Linked DNA regions of Arabidopsis thaliana. The protein of the gene in region 1 binds, or shares a complex with, the protein of each later gene. Each region holds a gene or a part of one and is shown on either strand. Other genes may lie near its edges. The genes, in order: AT1G18340, XPB2, AT1G55750 and AT1G12400.

The links.
Region 2: AT1G18340 (region 1) and XPB2 share a complex: the UniProt entries of both Arabidopsis thaliana proteins name them as parts of the 7-subunit TFIIH core complex.
Region 3: AT1G18340 (region 1) and AT1G55750 share a complex: the UniProt entries of both Arabidopsis thaliana proteins name them as parts of the 7-subunit TFIIH core complex.
Region 4: AT1G18340 (region 1) and AT1G12400 share a complex: the UniProt entries of both Arabidopsis thaliana proteins name them as parts of the 7-subunit TFIIH core complex.

What each region holds. Positions count from the first base shown.
Region 1 is NC_003070.9:6,310,647-6,315,733, reverse strand, and holds AT1G18340 (basal transcription factor complex subunit-like protein), read left to right. Parts: upstream 1-1,802; 5' UTR 1,803-1,999; coding exon 2,000-2,030; intron 2,031-2,153; coding exon 2,154-2,242; intron 2,243-2,323; coding exon 2,324-2,606; intron 2,607-2,875; coding exon 2,876-2,922; intron 2,923-3,115; coding exon 3,116-3,153; intron 3,154-3,239; coding exon 3,240-3,285; intron 3,286-3,384; coding exon 3,385-3,438; intron 3,439-3,522; coding exon 3,523-3,591; intron 3,592-3,698; coding exon 3,699-3,775; intron 3,776-3,859; coding exon 3,860-3,955; intron 3,956-4,046; coding exon 4,047-4,122; 3' UTR 4,123-4,291; downstream 4,292-5,087. Other genes in the region: MKK7 (MAP kinase kinase 7), read right to left, coding at 1-48; AT1G18335 (Acyl-CoA N-acyltransferases (NAT) superfamily protein), read left to right, coding at 4,408-4,512, 4,610-4,712. UniProt on the Arabidopsis thaliana protein: Component of the general transcription and DNA repair factor IIH (TFIIH) core complex, which is involved in general and transcription-coupled nucleotide excision repair (NER) of damaged DNA and, when complexed to CAK, in RNA transcription by RNA polymerase II.
Region 2 is NC_003076.8:16,542,739-16,550,117, forward strand, and holds XPB2 (homolog of Xeroderma pigmentosum complementation group B 2), read left to right. Parts: upstream 1-1,601; 5' UTR 1,602-1,835; coding exon 1,836-1,845; intron 1,846-1,944; coding exon 1,945-1,988; intron 1,989-2,075; coding exon 2,076-2,148; intron 2,149-2,228; coding exon 2,229-2,397; intron 2,398-2,479; coding exon 2,480-2,702; intron 2,703-2,804; coding exon 2,805-2,861; intron 2,862-3,168; coding exon 3,169-3,312; intron 3,313-3,420; coding exon 3,421-3,501; intron 3,502-3,597; coding exon 3,598-3,685; intron 3,686-3,896; coding exon 3,897-4,234; intron 4,235-4,419; coding exon 4,420-4,495; intron 4,496-4,582; coding exon 4,583-4,776; intron 4,777-5,071; coding exon 5,072-5,235; intron 5,236-5,322; coding exon 5,323-5,395; intron 5,396-5,497; coding exon 5,498-5,611; intron 5,612-5,713; coding exon 5,714-5,794; intron 5,795-6,011; coding exon 6,012-6,383; 3' UTR 6,384-6,446; coding exon of another isoform or gene 6,447-6,499; 3' UTR 6,500-6,589; downstream 6,590-7,379. Other genes in the region: AT5G41350 (RING/U-box superfamily protein), read right to left, coding at 1-115, 286-426, 648-650. UniProt on the Arabidopsis thaliana protein: ATP-dependent 3'-5' DNA helicase/translocase; binds dsDNA rather than ssDNA, unzipping it in a translocase rather than classical helicase activity. Component of the general transcription and DNA repair factor IIH (TFIIH) core complex.
Region 3 is NC_003070.9:20,839,684-20,847,769, reverse strand, and holds AT1G55750 (BSD domain (BTF2-like transcription factors, Synapse-associated proteins and DOS2-like proteins)), read left to right. Parts: upstream 1-1,870; 5' UTR 1,871-1,905; intron 1,906-2,174; 5' UTR 2,175-2,634; coding exon 2,635-2,715; intron 2,716-2,801; coding exon 2,802-2,880; intron 2,881-3,009; coding exon 3,010-3,071; intron 3,072-3,178; coding exon 3,179-3,242; intron 3,243-3,341; coding exon 3,342-3,456; intron 3,457-3,550; coding exon 3,551-3,626; intron 3,627-3,705; coding exon 3,706-3,801; intron 3,802-4,017; coding exon 4,018-4,062; intron 4,063-4,410; coding exon 4,411-4,467; intron 4,468-4,566; coding exon 4,567-4,722; intron 4,723-4,819; coding exon 4,820-4,885; intron 4,886-5,386; coding exon 5,387-5,510; intron 5,511-5,659; coding exon 5,660-5,716; intron 5,717-5,800; coding exon 5,801-5,928; intron 5,929-6,012; coding exon 6,013-6,186; intron 6,187-6,280; coding exon 6,281-6,394; coding exon of another isoform or gene 6,395-6,448; exon of another isoform or gene 6,449-6,508; coding exon 6,509-6,586; coding exon of another isoform or gene 6,587-6,649; exon of another isoform or gene 6,650-6,747; and 7 more. Other genes in the region: AT1G55760 (BTB/POZ domain-containing protein), read left to right, coding at 51-653; AT1G55755 (uncharacterized protein), read right to left, coding at 194-251, 502-637, 1,604-1,655. UniProt on the Arabidopsis thaliana protein: Component of the general transcription and DNA repair factor IIH (TFIIH) core complex, which is involved in general and transcription-coupled nucleotide excision repair (NER) of damaged DNA and, when complexed to CAK, in RNA transcription by RNA polymerase II.
Region 4 is NC_003070.9:4,219,874-4,223,365, forward strand, and holds AT1G12400 (Nucleotide excision repair, TFIIH, subunit TTDA), read left to right. Parts: upstream 1-1,953; 5' UTR 1,954-2,137; intron 2,138-2,413; 5' UTR 2,414-2,422; coding exon of another isoform or gene 2,423-2,457; 5' UTR 2,458-2,496; coding exon 2,497-2,730; 3' UTR 2,731-2,992; downstream 2,993-3,492. Other genes in the region: AT1G12390 (Cornichon family protein), read left to right, coding at 474-545, 1,095-1,276, 1,356-1,478, 1,572-1,608; CLP2 (CLP protease proteolytic subunit 2), read left to right, coding at 3,226-3,275, 3,367-3,410. UniProt on the Arabidopsis thaliana protein: Component of the general transcription and DNA repair factor IIH (TFIIH) core complex, which is involved in general and transcription-coupled nucleotide excision repair (NER) of damaged DNA and, when complexed to CAK, in RNA transcription by RNA polymerase II.

The DNA.
Region 1 (5,087 bases):
GACAGGGAGACGGAGGTTGATTTGACGGCGTTTACGAACAAGAGCCATGGAAATAGAAGAGAGAGAGAGAGAGTGATGATGGTGATCGAAGAGTGATGGAAGTTGCAGTTTTTATATGGAGACTTGAGTGGGATTTAAGTGAGGAGCCTGGGAAGCTAATAAATCTTTCCATTAAATGTTAATCACTCTTTTTTGTTCTTTATCTTAATTATTATTTGTTGAGTTGTATCTAAAAATGGCAACTAGTGTGTCTACCGTTTATGTTTATCTTGCACGAGGTTAAATGCATGGGACTGCTATCTGTCCTACTTACCCGGAACCTGGCTATAGTGGCTTGTGTATATTGAGATAAATCTACGCAATAATGATTAGATTTATATACATTTAAAGAGTTTGTTTTAGTGATTTTGAATGGTAACTCAATTATCAAAGTTTGTTACAGCCTGTATCGTGATAATTACAAATTACAAAGGCGTTATAAAAGCGTTACTTTTAACGTTTTGCATTAATGATTAGATTTATATGCATTTAAAGAGTTTGTTTTAGTGATTTTGAATGGTAACTCAATTATCAAAGTTTGGTACAGCATGTACCGTGATATTACAAATTACAAAAGCGTTATAAAAACGTTATTTTTAACTTTTTGTACTACTTATTTATATAGTTTTGCATTCTAATTTACAGCTAAAACAACTTTAAAGCTTTGTGTTACCTATCAGAATCGTTATCTTCACATTCAAACACATAATCCATTGTTGTTGAAAAATAATAATACTTTCAAAACATTTATTTTAGTGATATTAATTTGACTTGATAGTAAGATTATTATTTACTCATAAAGACATTGGTGGAATTTAGTTATATAATTTTCATATACTAAACTATAGGAGATTTTAAAGTTTAATGTGAATTTGTGAGGTTCAATGTACCTCGGAGGCTAAGGACTTCTAATGAAAATGACCAAACAATAAGTTATATTTAGGCCATCATGCAAAAGCTTTCCAATGGCCATCGCCATTAATATTGCCAAGTTAATTATTAATATGATTTTAGTAAAAACTATGATTAGATCTTCAGATTCTTAGTGGACAGTCACACATGACCCTACGGATTACAAGTATTTAGCATGTCGATTGTCATGCGCGTATATATCCAAAGAATACTGAATAAAAATAATATGAAGTCAATCAAATGAATAACAATCAAATTATATGAAGTCAATCAAACCTTTATGAATGTGATTTGCTTCTTTTTCCAACCAAAAAACTTGTTTGTTTATTTGTTAGTTGTTACTCCCAAAAAAATGTAGTAAGCTTTTTATGCCCCATGTATTATATATCAAGACGATCTCCAAACATGACTATAGTTTCATAGGATGGATTGGATATCAGGACATGTGTGAATTTACTAATTTTTAGTATTGAAACAAACAACATTTCAACCAAAATTTTTTACCATTAAAATTAATATATCGACGTCCGATAGTATAAAGCTTGAATAAACTGAATTTCGTATCAGTAGCCAGTTTGAAAAATAAATTTGTTCCTTGAGATTTTGGTGTTCTTTTCCAAAAGAAAGAACAAAGAAAACAAAAGGCCCTTGTAAAAGGCGGTTTAGTTCATAAAGAAAACTGGGCCTATCTAAAAATTTGAACTAATGCCATATTTGGGCTTAGTAAGCCCGGCTTACGATACGACGTTTATAGTCGGATCTGATTCGGATCCAAACCCGTTTGATGGATCCGGCTCCTACCAAATCACTTCAGATTTCTGTATAAGCTAAAAATCCTTGAATTTTTCAGTAAGTTACTATAGCATCCGAGAATTTCATTCTTTAACTCTGGTTCGTAATCGGAAAACTCAAAGACCTGTTGTGAAGATATATTGGAGAAGAAAAAAAAAACGATTTCCCGGCACTGAAATAGCATTATCAGATCTCGTTCCCACCGGGAAGATTTCCCGGCACACTGAAATTCTGACTTGGAATCGTCTGTGAAACTATGCCTGCCATTGCTTCTAAGCAGTATTCAGGTTATTATTAAATTCCTCTTACTTCGAAACCCTCACATTCCTCAATCGTATAAGTATGTAGATTAGATATCCCAAAAACTGGAAACAAGTCTGATTGGCTCGTGATTGTTTTTTTGGTCGCAGACGATGTTAGTCTTCTAGTTTTGTTGCTTGATACGAATCCTCTTTTCTGGAGCACTACATCGATTACCTTCTCTCAGTTCCTTTCTCATGTAAGTGTCTCTAACGAATCTATTGTTTGTTTGTTCAATGCTTCGATTTTTATGCAGAAAGCTTGCTGCTGTTATGTGTAGGTGCTTGCGTTTCTTAATGCGGTTTTGGGGTTAAATCAGTTGAACCAAGTTGTAGTTATAGCTACTGGATACAGTTCTTGTGATTACATTTATGATTCGTCTTTGACATCAAATCATGGAAATTTCGAGAGCAATGGAACTGGAATGCCTGCAATTTTTGGTTCTTTGCTTAAGAAATTGGAAGAGTTTGTTACCAAAGATGAGGAGCTCAGCAAGGAGGAAGTGTCTGAGGATAGAATACCTTCTTGTCTCTTGTCAGGATCACTCTCCATGGCTCTTTGCTGTATCCTCTTGGAAAAGCATATAGCATCATGATAGGTTTCTTGAAGCTATATATAGTACAAACTATTAGGATTTGTTTGCATAAGTTCTGGCAGTGATCTTGAAGCTTAGCTTTCTCTCTAGACTGGGTTAAGTAAGGAACATTTTAGGTTGACATGTTTGTTCTCAGCTAAACCTATAGCATGTCTAAGGCCATCAATGTTATCTGGTAATATATGTATTTGATTTTCAGTCTTCACATTTTGTTGTTGACTTAATTTATGGCTCTAGATATACAGAGGGTTTTCCGTTCTGGACATCTTCATCCCCAGCCTCGGGTGAGTGTTCAGTAGGATATATGTATCAATCAGTTGTCTTGGATAAAACTTTTCATGTTGATTGCTTTGTATGAATCTTCAGCTTAAAGTATTAATGAGAATATAGACTCCTTTTTCTTATGTGTTATCTGTTCTATCGTATACCCCCAAAATACAGAACTGATTGTGCTATTGACGTTTATATGAAATACAGATTTTATGCTTGCAAGGTTCCCCAGATGGCCCGGAACAGTATGTTTCTTCCTTCATTTTTTTTCTACTTGCAAGATTTTGTCTTGTTTGTCTGGTCTCATTAAAAGGTTTTGTCATTCTTTCAGGTATGTTGCTGTTATGAACTCTATCTTCTCTGCCCAACGCTTGATGGTAATCTTCATTTTGATTGGTTCTTTGGGATTTCCGGTTCTTGATGTTCTCTAAATCCAGTATCATGTACCCAAATCACTTCATCAATTGGTTCTTTAGGTTCCCATTGATTCGTGTTACATAGGTGTACAGAACTCAGCATTTTTGCAGCAGGTAATATCATTTCTCCTTTATACATGATTCTAACTCGTCAAACTGGACCTATGCGTCAGCTGTTATCTCCTGGCTTATTTGTAGGCATCTTATATAACTGGTGGTGTACATCATACACCTAAACAGTTGGATGGGCTATTTCAATATCTAACGGTACGCAACTCAAGTCCAAACGCAAACCATTATGTGACTCGTCTCTCATTTAGCGAACTCAATACTCAATGGCTGCTAACTCTGGATTGTTTTGTTTTGCACAAAAGACAATCTTTGCAACCGATTTGCACTCCCGCGGTTTTGTACAACTTCCTAAACCCATAGGTGTAGATTTTCGCGCATCGTAAGTGATCAAGTCATTAACTCTTCAATTAATCGGGTCTTCCTCTGCATATATAACAGATGGTTTTAAGTACAAAATTTGCAGGTGCTTTTGCCACAAGAAGACAATAGATATGGGCTACATATGCTCAGTGTGTCTGTCCATTTTCTGTGAGCATCACAAGAAATGTTCAACCTGCGGGTAAGAGATTTGACCCGTCATGTTCTTTCTCAAGATAACAATCTATCATGTTGTTTGATACTAATATCGAAAAGCTTTTGGAAATTTGCAGGTCTGTATTTGGTCAGTCTAAACTTGATGATGCTTCATCTGCCTCTGATAAGAAGAGAAAAGCTCCTAGTACCTAAAATCATCTTTTGTGCCAGAGAGAAACTGCAAACTTTGTTTAATTGTGTCTTTGCGTTCATTTTCGATAATTTTTATACCATATATCAAAGTGAAATCAATTTTGCAAAGTTTTTGACTCTTTTTTTTTCCTTGAGATAGTACCCGTTGACTTGAGCAAACAAAACAAAAAGGCCTCTAATAGTCCATATAGAAAGTTGGGCTTCTCTATCGAATTTGAACGAATACGACATTTGGGCTGACGTCATTTATTATTGTCGGATCTATTTCGGGTCCAAACCCGTTTGATGGATCCGTCTCCTACCGAATCACTTCAGACGTGGAGAACGAACGAGACAGAGGGAAGAGAATCATCGGTGTGGCGAGCAATGGATTTGAAGAAACGGCGAAAGGTAAAAAAAATCTCGGAAGTAATGTGTATGTTTCATAGCACTCGAAATTTCGATCTTTGATTTTGTTCGAAATCGATAATTGAGAATTGTCGTGCAGATTTTGGAGAAGAAAAAGACGATTCATGACCTTATAAAAAGAGCTTCTTCCATTGACGATCCTCTTTCTCCGTTTGATTCTTTCCGCCGTTACCGAAGAAACGGTAAATTTGTTCTTCTGCTCAATTTTATTTTCGCCAGTTTCTCAAAAATATGGGATTTTGTTTATGCGAACTGATTATCATTGACAATGATTTGATGCATATAAACTTACTTTTACAATTCCTAATGTTACTACATTATGAAGTAGATGTAGTGTTAGTTGGAATTCGTGCTTTTTAACATGGATTTAATTATCTGTGAATCCCTTACTCATGCAGACTTTGGTAACCTATGATCTAGTGTGCTCTGATTAGTTGTTAGTTAGTTATGATAATGTTTGTGTGAATTTTGTTTTCAGTGCTTACTTGTTTCGTTTTAAGTTCACAGAAGAGTCTTGATGGTTAGCTAATTCTGTGTATGTGTTGTTCTTACGTCTT
Region 2 (7,379 bases), on another chromosome or scaffold:
CAGGAGATGATGTCTCTAAGTTTGTGTCTACTACTACAACACCAGTAGAGATTGCAGAGGAAGTCCTGTTATGAGCGGAAGATAAAGGCACACGCTCTTCTGTTGCCCTTGGGTACTGCAAAATACAAGTCATAAAACAAGTTATATTCCCATATGAATCTCGAAGCCCGTTGGGGCTTTTAACTCATTTAGTGTCCTGAAGCACATCAAGATTGATTTATTTGCAGCCTATCAAAGCAAGGACACCCAAAAAAAACGAGGAAGTGGGAGAAGTATCAGACTAACGTAGTAGTACGCAGGTCCATTATCTACATCAGCTCTTCGTGAAGAAGAACAACAACAGCAACCTCCCATCTCTTCTTCTCTTTTTTTTTTTTTCTGTTTTACAAAAACTACAAAACCCGAAGACTCTTCATCTATGCTAACCTACAAGATATGTGAAGAAACAAATTACATTCTGAGATCAGTAGGAGAATATTTATCATCTATATGCAAGAAACTCAAACAAGCTTTATCGTTTTCGATATCAGTTTGAGCTGTCTACTAAAGTCTGATCAGACTCATCATGCTAGTAGCAACAATAAAACAATTCAGCTACTAACAGTTCAAATTCACTCTCAATAATCAAAGATACAATAAACATCAACCATTAAAATCGAGACAACAGTGTTGCGACTACAAGCCTATGTGAATCTCCTACAATTCTCATTCTCTTTAGCACCATCTACACACAATTGCAATAAATTCAAATCAGTTTTACACTAAACCCCAAAAACTTAAAACAATTCTACTCAGAATTTAACTCCAACACAAACAATGAATCCACAAAAAGAACCAAAGCTCCATTAAGAGCAAGCTAATCCGTAAAACCCTAAACCGAAACTTATAAAAGCAACAATAAACATCAGAATTCTCAGAATCTAGCATAAACACATAGGAGAAATACGGATCAAAACAGTAAAAAAAAAACCCACAGAATTTCACACAAAAATCAAGCTCAAAACCTAAAGAAAAGCGATCACTAGCAAGAACAAACACCAAAGAAGAACCGATCATCTTCTCGAGATTGAATCAGAGAAGAGGAATTAAAAATCTCAAAATCATAGAGAGAATTTTACTTTTTGTTCTTGGGGGAAGCTTTTTTTGTTTTGTCTTCGTCTTTCTCTGCTTCTGTGCTTTTTGCGGTGCTGTGTTTATCGTGCGCTCTATCAAAATGACTTTCCTAAGAAATTACAAAGACTCTTTTTGGGCTCAATATTATATTTACTTACCTGATTTATTAAATTCATTAATACAATTATTAATTAGCTGATTAATTATTTTATTTTTTCCGTTACAATGTATTTTTCAAAATTTCAATAATGAAATTACATAACTGAAAATCGGCTGAAAAGTGTCGACCAAAAAATTATAAATTGGGAAGTACCATTTTCAGTAAAATTATTACTATTTTTTTTCCGGCAAATAATTTATCGATGTTTAAAAAAGAAACATGGGCTCAAACTTAAGAATAAAGCCCATTTAAAGAATCCTATTAAAAGCCCATATTTGATCTGTTACTGCAGCCTTTATATATGAATCGTGTTCTTACGTTTCTGCTTAACAATTTCCTTCCTCCGCTTCAAACGAGTCACCGACTCGACACAGGAATCCGAATTCGCCGGAGACGCAGCTTGCTTCGTTGAATAGCTTACAACGGGAAATTACCACGAAGACGGTTGTATATTCCCTCCGTCGTACAATTTAGGTTATGTGCGAATTCACAAATTGAAAATACAAGAGAAACAATCCCTAAAATCGATTTGATTAAGAGGAGCGAAAAGAAGAAAATCAATATGGGAAACGGTAATGGTCTCGAATCTCGATCGTACTGAGTTTTGATTCGTTTATTGAATTATCCGGTGAAAAGAGTATGCTAATACTGGGGAAAATGTTGATGTTTAGATGAAAGAAAACGACCTACAAAGAAGATGAAGTACGGTGGGAAGGTTCGTGTTGATTCTTCTCCACATGACTTTTTTTATTTATTAGGCTCTTCACTTCTAGTTAGTGTAATTGTACTGTAAAAATCTCAGGATGATCAAAAGATGAAGAACATACAAAACGTTGAAGATTACTATGATGATGCTGATGAGGATTCTCGTGATGGTAATATTGATTACTCTCGTATAATTAACATAGATACATTGGGAACAAAATTGAAATAGAATTTATAATGGTTTTTAAAGGTGAAGGAGAGGAGAAGAGGAGAGATTTTACTGATTTGGAGTTGAAGCCGGATCATGGAAATAGGCCTTTGTGGGCTTGTGCTGATGGAAAGATTTTCTTGGAGACATTTTCTCCTCTCTATAAACAAGCTTATGACTTTCTTATCGCCATTGCTGAACCCGTTTGCAGGTTTGATTTTGATTTGATTATTATATCAATGTACAAGTTATGATTTTTGTTGTTGATTTTCATTCATTTGTTACTATTTCAGGCCTGAGTCAATGCACGAGTATAATTTAACCCCACACTCGTTGTATGCTGCTGTTTCCGTTGGTCTTGAGACAGAAACTATCATCTCTGTTTTGAATAAGCTATCTAAGACCAAGCTACCCGGGGAGATCATTGATTTCATCCATGCTTCTACTGCTAATTATGGGAAAGTGAAGTTGGTATTGAAGAAAAATCGGTATTTTATTGAATCACCATTCCCGGAGGTAAGTTCACCAGACTGATCCTCTTTCTCTAGTTATGCGTATGGGATTTTTGTGTAGTTTCTCTGTTGGTTTTGCTCACTCGTTAAATATAAACAATCTTAGGTGTTGAAAAGGCTTCTCAGTGATGATGTCATAAATCGAGCAAGATTTACTTCTGAGGTATGTTGAACTCCTCAATTTAGTGCTTTATGTTTACTATTACTGGATGGAAATACATACCATGATCTGTTGTTCTCAACAGTTTTTGCATCTTTTGATACCAATGCGGCAGAGAGATCTATCCTGATTCTCTTGGGGCTATTGGTTTCGTGTTTAAATTCTAATTTTTTCTTGAACTATTTAATAGATAAATAAACTCATTATCCTTCTTTTTAAACTCCTTGGTTCATTGAATGTGAAATTGATATCTCTTATACCATTGTATTCTCCACAGTATGTTGAACCAACTTATTAACTTTTTTTCTAGCCATATTATGGTGGTGATGGATTTACGATCGGCAAAACAAGTGGTGAACTTGAAGCAGGACCTGGGGAGTTGTTGAATGAAGCAGAATTGGCAGCAGCAGCAGAAGAGAAAGAAACTCACTCATTTGAGATAGACCCTGCACTGGTAAATTTCCCCTAATGCTTCTGAAATAAATCGTGTTGATGACTTTGTTAATGTTATATGATCTTTACTCAACTCACGGTGTCATGTTCTTCTGCTCTTGGTGTGTAGGTGGAGAATGTTAAGCAGCGTTGCTTGCCAAATGCCTTGAATTACCCTATGTTAGAGGAATATGACTTCAGGAACGATAATGTGAGAAATAATTATCACACTTCAGGTCAATTTTTACTTATCAGATGATATGAACTGGATGTTCGTGATTGTTAATAACTTGATGGTGTCTGTCAGGTTAATCCTGATCTTGACATGGAACTGAAGCCCCATGCACAACCAAGGCCATACCAGGAAAAAAGTTTGAGCAAAATGTTTGGAAACGGTAATACGATATAACTGTCTACGCCCGCATTTATTTTCCTTAGTAATTTGTTTACAGCGACTGCTAAATTGATTGTGAACTTCTCTTAGATATATAGATTTGTACTTTCATACACTGTTCTGATCTAGCTTCATTGTGAACTTCTAATAGATAAGTATCTTTGTTATTTCTCCTGAAAGCTTGTGACTGATCTAGACTCCTGATTCTGCAGGACGAGCAAGATCTGGGATTATAGTGTTACCTTGTGGAGCTGGTAAATCTCTAGTTGGTGTTTCTGCAGCGGCTCGTATAAAGAAGAGTTGTCTTTGTTTGGCAACGAATGCTGTCTCGGTGGATCAATGGGCCTACCAATTTAAGTTGTGGTCTACTATAAAAGATGACCAAATATGCCGTTTCACTTCTGATAGTAAAGAACGATTCCGTGGAAATGCTGGTGTTGTTGTGACAACCTATAATATGATTGCCTTTGGTGGTAAACGATCTGAAGAAGCAGAGAAGATTATAGAAGAAATGAGAAACAGAGAGTGGGGGTTGCTGCTTATGGACGAGGTAATCAAATTGTTCTTAGTGTGATGTGCCTTTGAATTGAAGTTAGTGTTTACTGGTAGTTTACATTGCGGAAAAGTTATATGTGGTTCATTTAGAATGTGTATCCACTATCCAGTGTTACTGGGATCTACAAATAACAAGTTTCCATCCAATGCGTGACATTTTAAGAGTTATGTTTTTCATAGGTGCATGTGGTTCCAGCCCATATGTTTAGGAAAGTTATCAGTATTACAAAATCTCACTGCAAGCTAGGACTTACAGGTAAATGAAAAATTCATTTTCACATACCTTTTTATTTGTTATACTTCAGTTGCAGAAGCTAAGTCTCTTTTTTGGTCTTTTGTTCAGCCACCCTTGTGAGAGAAGACGAAAAAATTACAGATTTAAACTTCCTCATTGGCCCGAAACTCTATGAAGCCAATTGGCTAGATTTAGTTAAAGGAGGCTTTATTGCAAATGTTCAGTGTGCTGAAGTATGGTGTCCCATGACCAAAGAGTTTTTTGCAGAATATCTGAAGAAAGAGAACTCGAAAAAAAAACAGGTTAATGCGTCTAAGCTTTCTCCGCATTGATCTTTGTTTTCCTTGGATATTTTTACTGGATAAAGATCTTAAAATAATTGACTATCTTATTTTATGTTTGTTTGTTTTGATACACTAGAGTCCATGAATTTGATGTAGTCTAGAACCTTATAATATGGTAAACATCAATATTATAGGTTATTTGTGTATGTCTTATAATTTGGCAAATGCTTCTAATAGATCACCCTGTAATAGAAACTAGGAAACCCCTTCAATTGTTCTGACATTTACATATCTTGTCTTCTGGTGTCTGCAGGCGCTTTATGTCATGAACCCTAACAAGTTCAGAGCCTGTGAATTTTTGATACGTTTCCATGAACAACAACGTGGGGATAAAATCATCGTCTTTGCAGACAATCTTTTTGCACTTACAGAGTATGCAATGAAACTCCGGAAACCGATGATTTACGGTGCAACCAGGTTCGTTAAAGAACCACCTATTGAGAGCACAATTTTGTATGTTTCACTCAGTTTCCAATCTGATAGTTCTCTTTGTTCAATATGTAGCCATATCGAACGAACAAAAATTCTCGAGGCGTTTAAAACCAGTAAAACCGTGAACACTGTATTCCTGTCAAAGGTATTAGCGTTGTTTCCTTTCCATTGACCTGGGAATATATAGAGACTTGTTCATTCCATTTTCATCAAGTAACTTAGTTTCGGTTTCTTTTATTGACTACAGGTTGGTGATAACTCCATAGATATCCCTGAAGCGAATGTGATCATCCAGATTTCGTCACATGCTGGTTCTAGACGTCAAGAGGCTCAACGTTTGGGTCGTATCCTTAGGGCTAAGGTGTGATTTTAAGTATTATAACTCATCACATTTTGCGTCTCTCCTAGAGTTCCTCTTGGTTGTTGGATCCAACACGTTTTATTTCTCCGTGATCAAAAACAGGGTAAACTTGAAGATAGAATGGCTGGTGGAAAAGAAGAGTACAATGCATTCTTCTACTCGCTTGTTTCTACCGATACACAGGTAAATCACTTTATTGTTGAAGTAGCCATAAAAACTGAAATTCATCAGACCAAATCAGAACCAAAATATAATTCAGTTCTAGTCCGCACTCGTTTCCAAAACACAGAAAAAATTTTGCTTTCCAGAACCCGTGACTTGAATTCCTGAACCGATAAAAATCGAATGACTGATTGAATGGAGAATGACTGATGTAAGGATCGTGAATGTTGAAATGCAGGAAATGTATTATTCAACGAAAAGACAGCAGTTTTTGATCGACCAAGGTTATAGCTTCAAGGTAATAACAAGCCTCCCACCTCCGGACGCGGGTTCAAGCTTGGGCTACCACAGTCAAGAAGAACAGTTGTCTCTTCTCGGAAAGGTGTTGAATGCTGGAGACGATATGGTTGGTTTAGAACAACTTGAAGAAGACACAGATGGAAAGGCTCTAAAGACGCGACGAAGCATGGGATCGATGAGTGCAATGTCCGGTGCAAATGGAAGGGTCTACATGGAATACAACTCAGGTCGTCAAAAATCTGGTAACCAATCCAAGAAACCTAAAGACCCAACCAAACGACACAATATCTTCAAAAAACGTTATGTTTGAGACAAGAGAACTCATATTCGGCTATATGTTTTGAGTTGTAACTTTGGTGCAAATTTGTTTCAGGCACAAAATCAAGAAAACCTAAACGAAGACACCCTACCTTAAAAGACCGTTAACATTTGATATTTGTTTTATTATGTGAATTGATTAATTGATATTAGAAAGTTCTTTCCTTTTTTTTGATATTTGTTTTCTAGCATATCATGATATCGCCTCGAGAATACCTTTGAAAATTATTTTGTTATTGTCAACTGTCATGATATCTCGCTGAACCAACATATAAAACACGATTATAATTTGGTTGACAGATCCTGAACAACAGTAAAACGTACTTAGTTTTCGAGGTTAAAAAATAATTACTTGTCATGATTTCGAATTAAAAATAATAATGGGCTCAATTTGAGATTAAAGAAAGCCCACGCTAAAAGAGGCCTACTAAATGCCCATATTGGATCCGTTATTGTAGCCTTTCTATATATGAATCGAGTTTGCATTTCTGCTATAACGTTCTCTGCATTCACATGATCACATCAACTCAGTAACGGACTCGACATACCCGGACCTGGACCCGACACCGAATCCGAATCATAATGCGACGGAGACGCAGCTCGCTTCTCGGTCTAGCTTACAACGGAAAATATTTACGGTACCGTTTGTTTTCCCTCTGTCGTAGAATTTCTGTCTTCGACACCGGATTGATATAATCGATTGAAAAGACAAGAGATAATGTCTAAAATTGATTCGATGAAGAGAAAAAGATCAATATGGGGAACGATAAAAGTCTCGATCTTACTGATTTTGGTTAATTTTCATATTACCCTGCAAAAAAAAGTATTGTCAATTCTGGGGAATTTTGTTGTTCAGGTGAAAGATGAAGAAGACCCGACTCTGTGTGTTTTTTCTTTTAAGTGTCGTACTGATGAAGAAGATCTGGGTCAATTAGTCATCCGTTATGGCCCAGTTGTTAAGATGTTATCCAAATCGTAAGAAGAAGGC
Region 3 (8,086 bases), about 15 Mb from region 1:
TGTTTGGTGAAACATGTGTGCTGAACTGATAAATTACCTGAATTCGGCAGAGTGGAGAACTTTACTCTATCTGGGCCAACGGTTCAACTGAGAATCAATCGCAAGTAACTGCGGTAACATCCCTTGGACGTATGTTGACAGAAAGCATTTACACCGACATAACGATCAATGCCTCTGATGGAAGCATTGGAGCTCACCGAGCAGTTCTCGCTGCCCGTTCACCTGTTTTCCGCAGCATGTTTTTACACGACCTGAAAGAGAAAGAACTATCAGAAATAAACGTACTCGACATGCCACTTGATGCTTGCCAAGCTTTTCTCAGTTATATCTACGGCAATATCCAAAACGAAGACTTTCTTATACACAGATTGGCACTCCTCCAAGCAGCTGAGAAATATGATATTGCTGATTTAAAAGAGGCGTGCCACTTGAGTCTTCTAGACGATATCGACACAAAGAATGTGCTTGAGAGGCTACAGAATGCTTATCTCTATCAATTACCTGAACTGAAGGCTAGCTGCATGAGATATCTTGTGAAGTTTGGCAAAATATTTGAGATCCGAGACGAGTTCAACATATTCATGCAATGCGCAGACAGAGATTTGATTTCTGAAATCTTCCACGAAGTCCTCAGTACCTGGAAAGGATTTTAGGGGAAATCAGAAAGGGTATGTGTGCTATAATTATACAAAATACATTTATGGACACTGATTTTTTGTGCAAAAGGATTTGTTGGTCTTTATGTACAGATTAAAGTATTGGGGGTTTTAACTCAAAACCCAAGTATTGTCCTTACAAGGATAAGACAGCAACATGTAAATTCATGATTTGATTGAATGTGAGCTTCTTAGCTTGAACTTTGAATTGTTAATCTATAACACTAATATAGTTTTCTGAACTTTTAAAGTAAAATCTACAATCATCTTTTAGCAATTTTACCCGATTCATGATACTAAAGTTATACCAAGCTAAAAAGCTAAACATACATATCCTCCCATGATCTGTAATCTTCCCTAGTTTATTGTAATGGTGACAGATGTTAAAACATATCATGCTACAAGCAAATTCAACAGGAATGGTTCAGTAGTTTCAGAGAATCAACCAACTAGTTTCTTAGCTAATATGAAAAATTCAAAACAGAGGAATATATACATTCTTCTACTCTAAGACTAGAATCTGTGCTACATACCAATGTGAGTACTACATGGTTTACAGAAACCAAATCTCCGGAAAAAAAAAAATCAGAAAACAACTCCCTGAAACTGAATCAATAGCTACATAAGCGATTTCAGATCGTCTTCAATGGAAACAAAATCAGACTCTAAGACCTCTGAGATCCGCCACAATGCCGGAAAACTAAGAGGAAATTACATAGAAACGAACTCGAATCAGGAAATCTCTGTGACTGCCAAATAATCAGAAACTAGAATGTCGCACGAATCTGATATATGGAATGGATGGTGTTCATGCGTAGGAAAAATCAAAGTGAAAAAGAAGAATCAGACAAGTAAACCGATATGGGTCTAATAGAATCGCAAAATGAAAACGACGAAAACAACAAAATGGAATTTCCTTGCAGAAGAAACTTACCTTCGACAGCTACCTATCACCACCACCATCGCCTTCTTCATCTTCGAATCTGAGATTCGCTTCATCTCTTCCTCCAATTTTGAAGAGAGGGAATATTGTTCTTCATAAGATGCTGGAAAATGAAGATTTTTTTTCAATTATTTTTTCCCGGCAAACGAACTACGTCAATAATGGGCCTTATTAGTGGCCCAAAATATTAAAGACGTCGTTTCATTCTGTAATAAATAGATCCCTAATCAAAAAAACCTCCCAAATTTCGAACTCAAAACTCTTTCTACGTCTACCTTCTTCTTCTTCAGCCGTCGACATCCTCTAGTAAGCCAGCTACTCTTTTCTTCTTCTGTACAGTAATCAGCTTCAATTCTATAGAGCTTTCAAAAAAAATCTATCGTTTGAAGCTTTATCTGGTTTGTGGTCTTTTTTTGTCGATGTCAATTTAGTTGATAAATGCACAAATATGTATCTTTTCTTCTTTTCTGTGTCTATCCTCATTATTGATTTATACTAGAGATTACAGAATTTGGTACATATTGATTATAGTCGTGAGACTATCATAATTTAAGGTGTTGTATGCTATTTTACAGGTTTGAATTTAGTCATTGAAGGTGTTAAAGTCCATGGCAGAGTCTATTCAATCCGCAACTGAAACCGAGCCTATGACGGTTAAGCCATTGAACTTTGAAGGCTCATGAAATGTCTGATGGGAAAGTTCAGTTTAGAGAAGTAGCCGTTCCACCGAACCGGTACTCTCCTCTCAAGAAAGCTTGGTCGGATATCTACACACCGGTCTTTGATCAGATGAAAATCGACATAAGGATGAATCTTACATTTTGATGCCCCTAATTAGTTTTGACTTTTTGTTCATTTTATCACATGACCAATCATAATGGGCCGTAGCAGTTTAATTCGGGTCAGTAAGTTGGGTCATGATTCGGGTCGGATACTTATTCCCGTTCTATAGTATAAACCTAGATTCCAATTTCGCTTGATTTCCGATGAATTGATCGACTGGAAAACAGAGAACCACCGTTTCTACAGTTGGATATGGCTGGTGGGCAAATAGAGAAGCTAGTCAAATACAAGAGCACTGTCAAGGATCCAGGAACTCCTGGATTTCTCAGAATTGTATGAAGATTACACTTTTCGCTCTTATTTGAGTTATATTATCTCTCAGCTTAACTGTTTCTTTTGCAAAATCGAAAAATTTGCAGAGAGAAGGGATGTTGCTCTTCGTCCCTAATGATCCCAAATCAGATTCTAAGCTCAAAGTACTTACTCAGAACATCAAAAGTATTGTTTGTACCTTTTCTCATTAACATTGCTTATTGGATAATAGATGTTGTGTTGATAAACGATTTCAGTTATGATGATAGCTGCATAGTCATTATCAAATTTCACTGTGTTTGTTCAATCTCTCAGGTCAAAAATATACCAAAGAAGGATCAAATAAACCTCCTTGGCTCAATCTCACCAACAAGCAGGTTTTTTCTGTTGACATTTTTTGATTAAAGCTATGATACATTATAGATATGTGAATTTTGAAGCTATATCTCTGTGTTCATTGAGGTTTCCTCATCCTTGATTGTAGGCAAAGAGTCATATCTTTGAGTTTGAAAATTATCCCGACATGCATGCTTGCCGTGATTTCATCAGTAACCTCCATGTCCCTTGGTTTGCTTTTATTGATTGGGAAAGTATTTCTCTTGTTTTCTTTCGTGGTGTTTCTGTAACCTCTTTTTTACTATAAACAGCTAAGGCCCTTGCTAAATGTGAATTGGAGCCTAATAAATCCGTTGTCTCGACATCTTCCGAGCAACTCAGTATTAAGGAATTGGAGCTGCGCTTCAAGCTTCTGAGAGAAAATAGGTATGTAATTGGAACATTAAGTTGCCTTTTTGGGTTCAAAGTTTCATTGGCTCATCAAGTTCCTTCTAATATGAGTAACATACGTGATTTAAAGTGAGCTGCAGAGATTGCATAAGCAATTTGTGGAAAGTAAAGTACTGACTGAAGATGAATTCTGGGCTACAAGAAAGGTTGGTTCTTTGTTTGATTTTTTTAAAAATTTTGTTCTCTTCAATGTCTTCATAGTTACCGACTTTATTCTGGCTGCAGAAATTACTTGGTAAAGATTCCATCAGAAAGTCAAAACAGCAGCTCGGGCTTAAGAGCATGATGGTTTCTGGCATCAAACCATCTACTGATGGGCGGGTATGGTATAGTTATCTCAACTCCTTTCTGGCAGTTAGTACAGCCAATTTAGTTAGCATTTTCATGTGCCTGCTTTTGTAGGAAAGAAACAATGCATCTATATGACCATACACTGATGTGTTCGACTGAATTACATTCATATGTTGATATATATCATATTATCATGTGACATCTCTGCTGGTTTACTAACCACTTTCTTCATTTTTCTTCTTTCAGACTAATAGAGTGACGTTTAACTTGACACCTGAGATAATTTTTCAGGTGAGCTCTTTGGTTCACTATGTTTGTCATTAGTGTAACTGCTCTATCAGTTTCTGAATCCCTCCAAGGTCGTCATCATAAGTTTTTTATATGTTATGGGGTTGAAGTTGCAGCTAGTGATATATTGGGTCAGAAATCCATTGTTAGGTGTTCAGGTTGCATCATGTGCTTGAACTTCTAGTCCAATCTGAAACTACAAATGAGGAATATAAACTTTTTTAACAGTCTTTCACCCACATTCTATCTTGTGCTTGCTTAGCCAGTAAATCCATTGCAAGTAACTTAAATGTTACTTTCGTAACTGCTACAGTCCTTTTCTTACTTATGTTTTCTTCATTACGCTTTCAGATTTTTGCTGAGAAGCCAGCTGTTCGGCAGGCATTCATCAATTATGTTCCGAGTAAGGTAACAAAGACCAGCTCACTGTGACCATCTTTGTTTATAAGGTTAACCCTCAAATACGACGAATCTTAACTGGCTTTGGTAGTTATTTTCCTACGCCAGATGACAGAAAAAGACTTCTGGACAAAATATTTTAGAGCAGAATATCTTTACAGCACCAAAAATACAGCAGTAGCTGCAGCAGAAGCTGCTGAGGACGAGGAACTCGCTGTCTTTCTGAAGCCTGATGAGATATTGGCTCGGGAAACTCGTCACAAGGTTAGGTTTCTTCTATGGTTTAATCATTTATCATATATTTTGTTTGAAAAGAAAATATTTGTGGCATATCCATCTGATTTAAATGTCATCTCTGTAGATTAGACGGGTTGATCCAACTCTTGACATGGAGGCTGACCAGGGAGACGACTACACTCATCTTATGGTAAGTCAACTACCACTGCATGTGAAAGGTTTGGATAATTTCCAAATTGCGCAACAATGGTTGTTGAAAGGAAAGTTCAATGCTCAGTTAACACTGTACAGATTCACACATAGAATAAGTCTTTCATCGAGGTTTGTAGTGTTGATGTTTACGTATTGTCTATCCCTAGTAGAAATAGTATGGGAAGAACTGGGATAATACTAACGGTGTTAAGAATCAAACCTGTACCAATGTGTGTCACTTGTTTCTTTCTTCTAGAATTCTCAGCGAACCTAATTTGAATTGTTAAATCAGGAATTTAGTTTCTTTCAAATAACTCTGAATTAGTGCTTTTGCTTTTTCACAAGACCACTACTTTAATATTAGCATGTGTGAGAAGGAGCTCAAAACTGATATCTAGAAAATATTAATCTTAACATTGACATTGTGCTCTTTGTATGCGGTTGAAACGTTATTTTCAATACACTTTATCGTACTTAATATAACTTTCCCATAACACAGGACCACGGGATCCAGCGTGATGGCACCATGGATGTTGTTGAACCACAAAATGATCAGTTTAAACGATCACTTTTGCAAGATCTTAATCGTCATGCTGCTGTTGTATTGGAAGGCAGAAGCATTGGTAAACACCTCTAAGAACCTCATTTGAATCTTTTTATCTGAATATTTTATAACAGTAGATAGTTCAGGAAGTGTAAACATTTATGTTGGCCTTTTGACTTTAGTTCTTGGTGGTAAATATACAATAATATTCCTGTAATTGGAAAGCAGATGTTGAGTCAGAAGATACAAGGATTGTTGCAGAGGCTCTCACACGGGTTAAACAAGGTATGATGTTTCATTCTGCTAAACAATGCCACGCTTTTTATTCATCTGACCTTGCTATCCATCTCTATTTTACACCCCTGTTAGTAAGCAAAGCTGATGGTGAAACCACCAAGGACGCTAATCAGGAGAGATTGGAAAGAATGTCCCGGGTAGCAGGAATGGAGGATCTTCAAGCACCACAAAATTTCCCATTGGCGCCGCTTTCTATCAAGGTTTGGCTTTCTGCCAATATAAGGTTTTCACAATTGATGATGGATGCTGCGTTAATCCGCTTACCCTTTCTTCTTTGGAATCAGGATCCTCGTGATTACTTTGAATCTCAACAAGGAAACGTCCTCAATGTACCCAGAGGAGCAAAGGGCTTGAAGAGAAATGTCCATGAAGCTTATGGATTACTAAAGGAATCCATTTTAGAGATTAGAGCTACAGGATTAAGTGATCCGTTGATTAAGCCTGAAGTTTCTTTCGAGGTGCTATTCTGTCACATAATAAAAAGTGTGCTGACAAAAGAAATCATTACTTATTGCTTTGTTGCCTGAGCTAAAAATTGCTAACCCTATTCAGGTTTTCAGTTCGTTAACCCGAACCATTGCAACTGCTAAAAATATTAATGGGAAGAACCCACGAGAGAGCTTTCTGGACAGATTACCAAAGTCCACTAAGGATGAAGTTCTACACGTAAGTCCGACATTTTCCAGTGTCCTAAGTGACAAGAAGCTCTATATGTACTAGTTAGTGAAGATTAGGTAGTAATGCATATGGATAAGAGGACTTTTCTTCTTTCATCTACAGCATTGGACATCAATACAAGAATTACTGAAACATTTTTGGTCATCTTATCCGATAACAACCACATATCTTCATACCAAGGTAATGTTATTGCAATTTTCAAATCTCCCAGTCCCAGAAATTGCTATATATATTGATTCCTAGGCTTTCACGGGAAATTTAATCTTATTATACACCAAGAGCAAGTTATTATACCAAATATTTTTCGTCGATTCTTGTGATGTTATATTATTATCATGCAGGTTGGTAAACTGAAGGATGCAATGTCCAATACATATTCAAAACTTGAGGTAAGCTTTGAAATTCTTCATCTTTCTGACAGAATAAGCAACTGATAGTAAATCTGCTATGTTAAAACAGTAGTTCCTAATCATACCAATGCGTTTACGAAAATGAAATTTTTGGGTAAATAAAATTGATGCAGTATTGTAGTCGAATCTTATTTGCATATATATGGTCAACTGTACGGTTTCCTTGATATTAAACTCCATGTAACTCAGGCAATGAAAGAGTCGGTGCAATCTGATCTCCGGCATCAGGTTTCTCTACTGGTTCGTCCAATGCAACAGGTTAGCTTCTTCCAATATCTACGGAAGAGTTTTATACTTTTATTACATCATGTCTCGGTTAAGTCTATATTTTCCACTCATATTGCATCTATATCCAGTTTCTACAGCCTTGCATTGTAATCCGGTTTGAAAATTGATCTTAATCGGTTTTCTCTGCTAGGCTCTTGACGCTGCGTTCCATCACTACGAAGTGGATCTGCAGAGAAGAACAGCTAAGAGCGGCGAAAGACCAAACGGCTACGTATAGAGGACAAAAAAACTAAAACTAAAAAGCTTTGCAAGATCTTTGAATTGTTTCATCAGCCTTGGTTGGTGTTTTTGAAAATCTTCATTTGTCCCTTTTTGTCCGACCATTGAGATACAAAAATGCGTTTATATTGTAGTAATATTTTCTTTTCTTTTTTTTGTTAATTAGGCGTTATATTGTTAACTGCGAGAGACAACAAAGAGATTTTCTCGATCTGAACATTTTTAAGTTTGCAATGTATTAGTAAATTCTCTACAGGCTTTGAGGACGTTACTACAGCTCCAAGAAAGCTCTCAGTGCCATAATTGTTTGGTTATTTGGTTACTGGTGAATATTTATAATAATGGGACAATAATAGAGAAAATGCTTCGATGGCGTAGTAGATTTCAATGTTTGAATCGCATCAAACAACAATCCAAATTAGAAATATATAAAATTCAACATAAAACTTTTTTTGACATAGCATTCATGGATAACTTTTGATTTGAATGATTAATTTACTCATTGTGAGGAAAAAAATAAAAACAGATAAAGTTACTCATTGCTTGTCATATTGACATGACATACAAAATTCAAGCTCCATAAGTAAAGCTATAAAGAAAAAGAAAAGGGGGACTCTCCACTTTTAGGTTTCATATAAACTCGTTAACTAGAGATTGGGTTTTGATTAAGCACGATATAATATATATGGCCGAAAAAGCCTTTTGGTTAGTTTACTTGGCTCACGTTTTCGTCTTCATATTTTCCTGTGGACTTGTCTTCTCC
Region 4 (3,492 bases), 2.1 Mb from region 1:
CCATTTTTGTTTTTAATTTTTCATTTTTGATTTCCTTAAAACTATACAATAAGACAATGACCTAAAAAAAATTATACACGACTCAACAAAAATTACACGGCTCTCGTGCCCAAACCCAAACTGTTTACTATTTAATTGGGCTAAATCTATAGAGGCCCAATGGCTTATAAATCATAGATTCATAATACTGAAATATTAAACCGGCGTAAATGGTACGTACTTCGGGAAATAACGAATTCGATTTTAACCGGAAACTGAACCGGAAGCTGAGTCTCGTGCCTGCCTTCTCTAGGCTTCTTTGTTTCCGATCAGAATCTCGAGCTCAACTGTCAAAACTAGCCGACCACTAAGTCGTTGTCCTAACTTTCTCTCTGTTCCTCATCGAACATTATTGGGAGGAGAGAGAGAGAGAGAGAAGACCAAGAAACAACGAGGATAGATCCGAGGAAATTGTCGGAACCAAAAGGAGGAAGATGGGAGATATCTGGACATGGCTTATTTCCTTCTTCTTCCTCATCGCTCTTGTCGGAATCATCGTCTATCAGGTGCGATTCCCAATTTCTAGGATAAATAAACCCAAAGTTCTTAACTTTTCTATCGGAATTTGCCAATTTTTTCGCTTACGGTTATAATGATACCATATTTGTCCATTTTGATTCATTTGGAGCCTTTTTTTTGTTTCTGGGTAGTCTGTGATTTAGCTAGAATTAGGGTTTTATGTTCTTGTCACATGTTTGGAAGAAGTAAAGGTGTAATTTTTGGGAATGTTATCATCAAAGGAGTAAATTCAGGAACATATATAGTGCGTATTGGCTTCTCAAAACACTTTTATAGGTTCATAGTTAGTTCTTATGTTGGATGTTCATGTCAGGTCTGAGGATTTACCTCCTTAAGCACAGGTTGTTCTTTTATAAATGAGCTCCATTTCGGCATAATGAAGTGAACCCTTTAGTTTTGTTTGTGTAGACTCTAATGAGAGGAGTCACTGAGACTGATAAGCTAGCAAACGGAATCTTCCATGTATAAACAGCTTGGGAAGACATTTTCTAGGAAGCTAACTTCTCTTTTCTGAATTTGAATTCTTTCATTTGCAGCTTGTTTGCTTAGCGGATCTCGAGTTTGATTACATCAACCCTTACGACTCTGCGTCGAGAATAAACTCAGTGGTTTTACCGGAGTTCATTGTTCAAGGAGTTCTATGCGTATTCTACCTCCTAACAGGACACTGGTTCATGACACTCTTATGTCTCCCCTATCTATACTACAACTTCCATCTGTAAGTCCAACTAATCTCAATCTTTTGCTCCAATCAAATGTTGTGGTATTGATATCCTTTCGGTTTCTCCGTTGTTCAGTTACTCGAAGCGACAACACTTAGTAGATGTCACCGAGATCTTCAATTTGCTTAACTGGGAAAAGAAGAAACGGCTGTTCAAGCTTGCTTACATTGTCCTTAACCTCTTTCTCACTATCTTCTGGTAACGAGAAAGATATTTCGAATCCCATTATTGCTTAACCATAAGTAGATCAAGAGAGCTAAAACACTTTCTGTTTGCAACTTTTTTTCGTAGGATGATTTATTCGGCGCTGGATGATTACGAGGACTGACTAATGAAGAAGACATGGTCCATCTTCTTCGGTTTATTGACACTACGCTTAAAGATACAGCGACATGCTTGTGGACATGAAAAAAAGCAAGGAAAAGTGTTTGCTTTGTGATGTTTGTAAGATTAGTGGCAGGAAGATTTGTGTATTTATTTCTTTCTTAGAAACATGTTCAGATTAACTGTTTTTTTTATGTCTTGATCATTATTTGTACAAGCAATCAAGCTCGTAAACTACTGGTTACAGTAACAATGAAACTGAATAATTTCAAATATAAGAAGAAAAAAAGTTAATTCATGTGAACTTTGACTTTTAAAAGTGAGAAACCCTTTTGAGTGATGTAATAAACGATAACTTAAAAGATGATCCGAACCTTCTGTTTCAGTTTTGTAATTAGGTTATCTTATAAAGCTAATCCTTCTCTCCTTTACTGTGACAATAATCGTCGTTATCAAGGTGATTTCTTTCTCTGCCTCAAACATCGCTTACCCTCTTGATTGATTCCTCCAATCTTCTTCGTGTGGTTTCACAGGTGTGTGGTTGATCTCTAGACCAAATTGATCTGGTTTCATCCTATTTCTATTTGGTCTGTAATCGTTAAAGTCTTAAGATTTGGGAATCGAGTTTATGTTGTGGTGTTTAGGTAGCGAAACCCCAGTTATGTAATCGTTGCATCTAGTAATTTGGGGTCCTTGAATTGAAACAAAGGATTAATCTTTCATTCATCTATGTTCTGAGTTATCGAGGATGTTCTTGGGTCATCTTTTGATGAAAATTGAGCTCAGATTATTCGTGTTTTGTATTACAGGTTTTACTTATGGTTAATGCAATCAAAGGAGTGTTCGTCTCTTGGTACTTCTTACCGTTGTTACGATTCCTAAGCAAATCTTGATGAACACAATTGAATCATTCATTGTTTCTTTGTATCTTTTGTTTGTTTGCAGCGATATTCCGATGACACAATTCATAGTGAACATGAACAATTCGATGCCTCCGTCTCAGAAATTCATAATTCATGTACTTGATAGTACTCACTTGTTCGTGCAACCACATGTAGAGCAGATGATCCGCAGCGCCATTTCTGATTTTAGAGATCAAAACTCTTACGAGAAGCCCACTTCTTAGATCACATCACATCACACTTGCTTCTTGTTTTTCTTTCATTTGATTCAAATGAATAAAAACTTCATTGAGATCGTGAGATTGGTTGATATGGCTCATGCTTTAATAGAGTTAAAGTGAACTTTGTTGACAAATAATCTCTCTGTACCGGTTTAGTATCAGTCGGTTTTCTCTGGTTGTGTTGATTACTTTGTCACTCTTTTGTTGAATAAACACGTTTGTTTGGTTATTGTTCAATTACTTGTAGTAGATAATAAACAGATTAAAGAATTCGGAAGTTCCAAATTTCATTTTACTCATGAAGGATGAACCAAGTAAAATCAGAAACTAAGTTAACCACATACAATTTGCACATGTGAACCAATTCGGTTAAGCAAACCAATAAACCAATCTTCTTCAACAAATTACCCAATCTGTATGTAAGCTTTTCCACTTCTTCTAGTCTTAAAATAAAACAAACAAAAAATCTAGTGTTCGGCTCTAACACGCTCGACGACCATGGCGGTCTCGTTTAATACAACGCTTCACCAGCCTTCTCTGAGTCCGAGGTAATCTTCAATTTATCTAAATTTACATACTTTTGTCTCTGTTCACACATATTCACTTGCATCTGATTGCTTTGTTATGTCCTTTTTGCAGCTGTAGCATCAAGCTTTATTCTGGGTTAAAGCCTCAATCTGCAAGTTTGTTCCTTTTCCTCTTAATATGTCCGAAAGTTCATGTTTTTAATCGAATTGGTCTGCGAGATGTGAGGGAACTGATTTA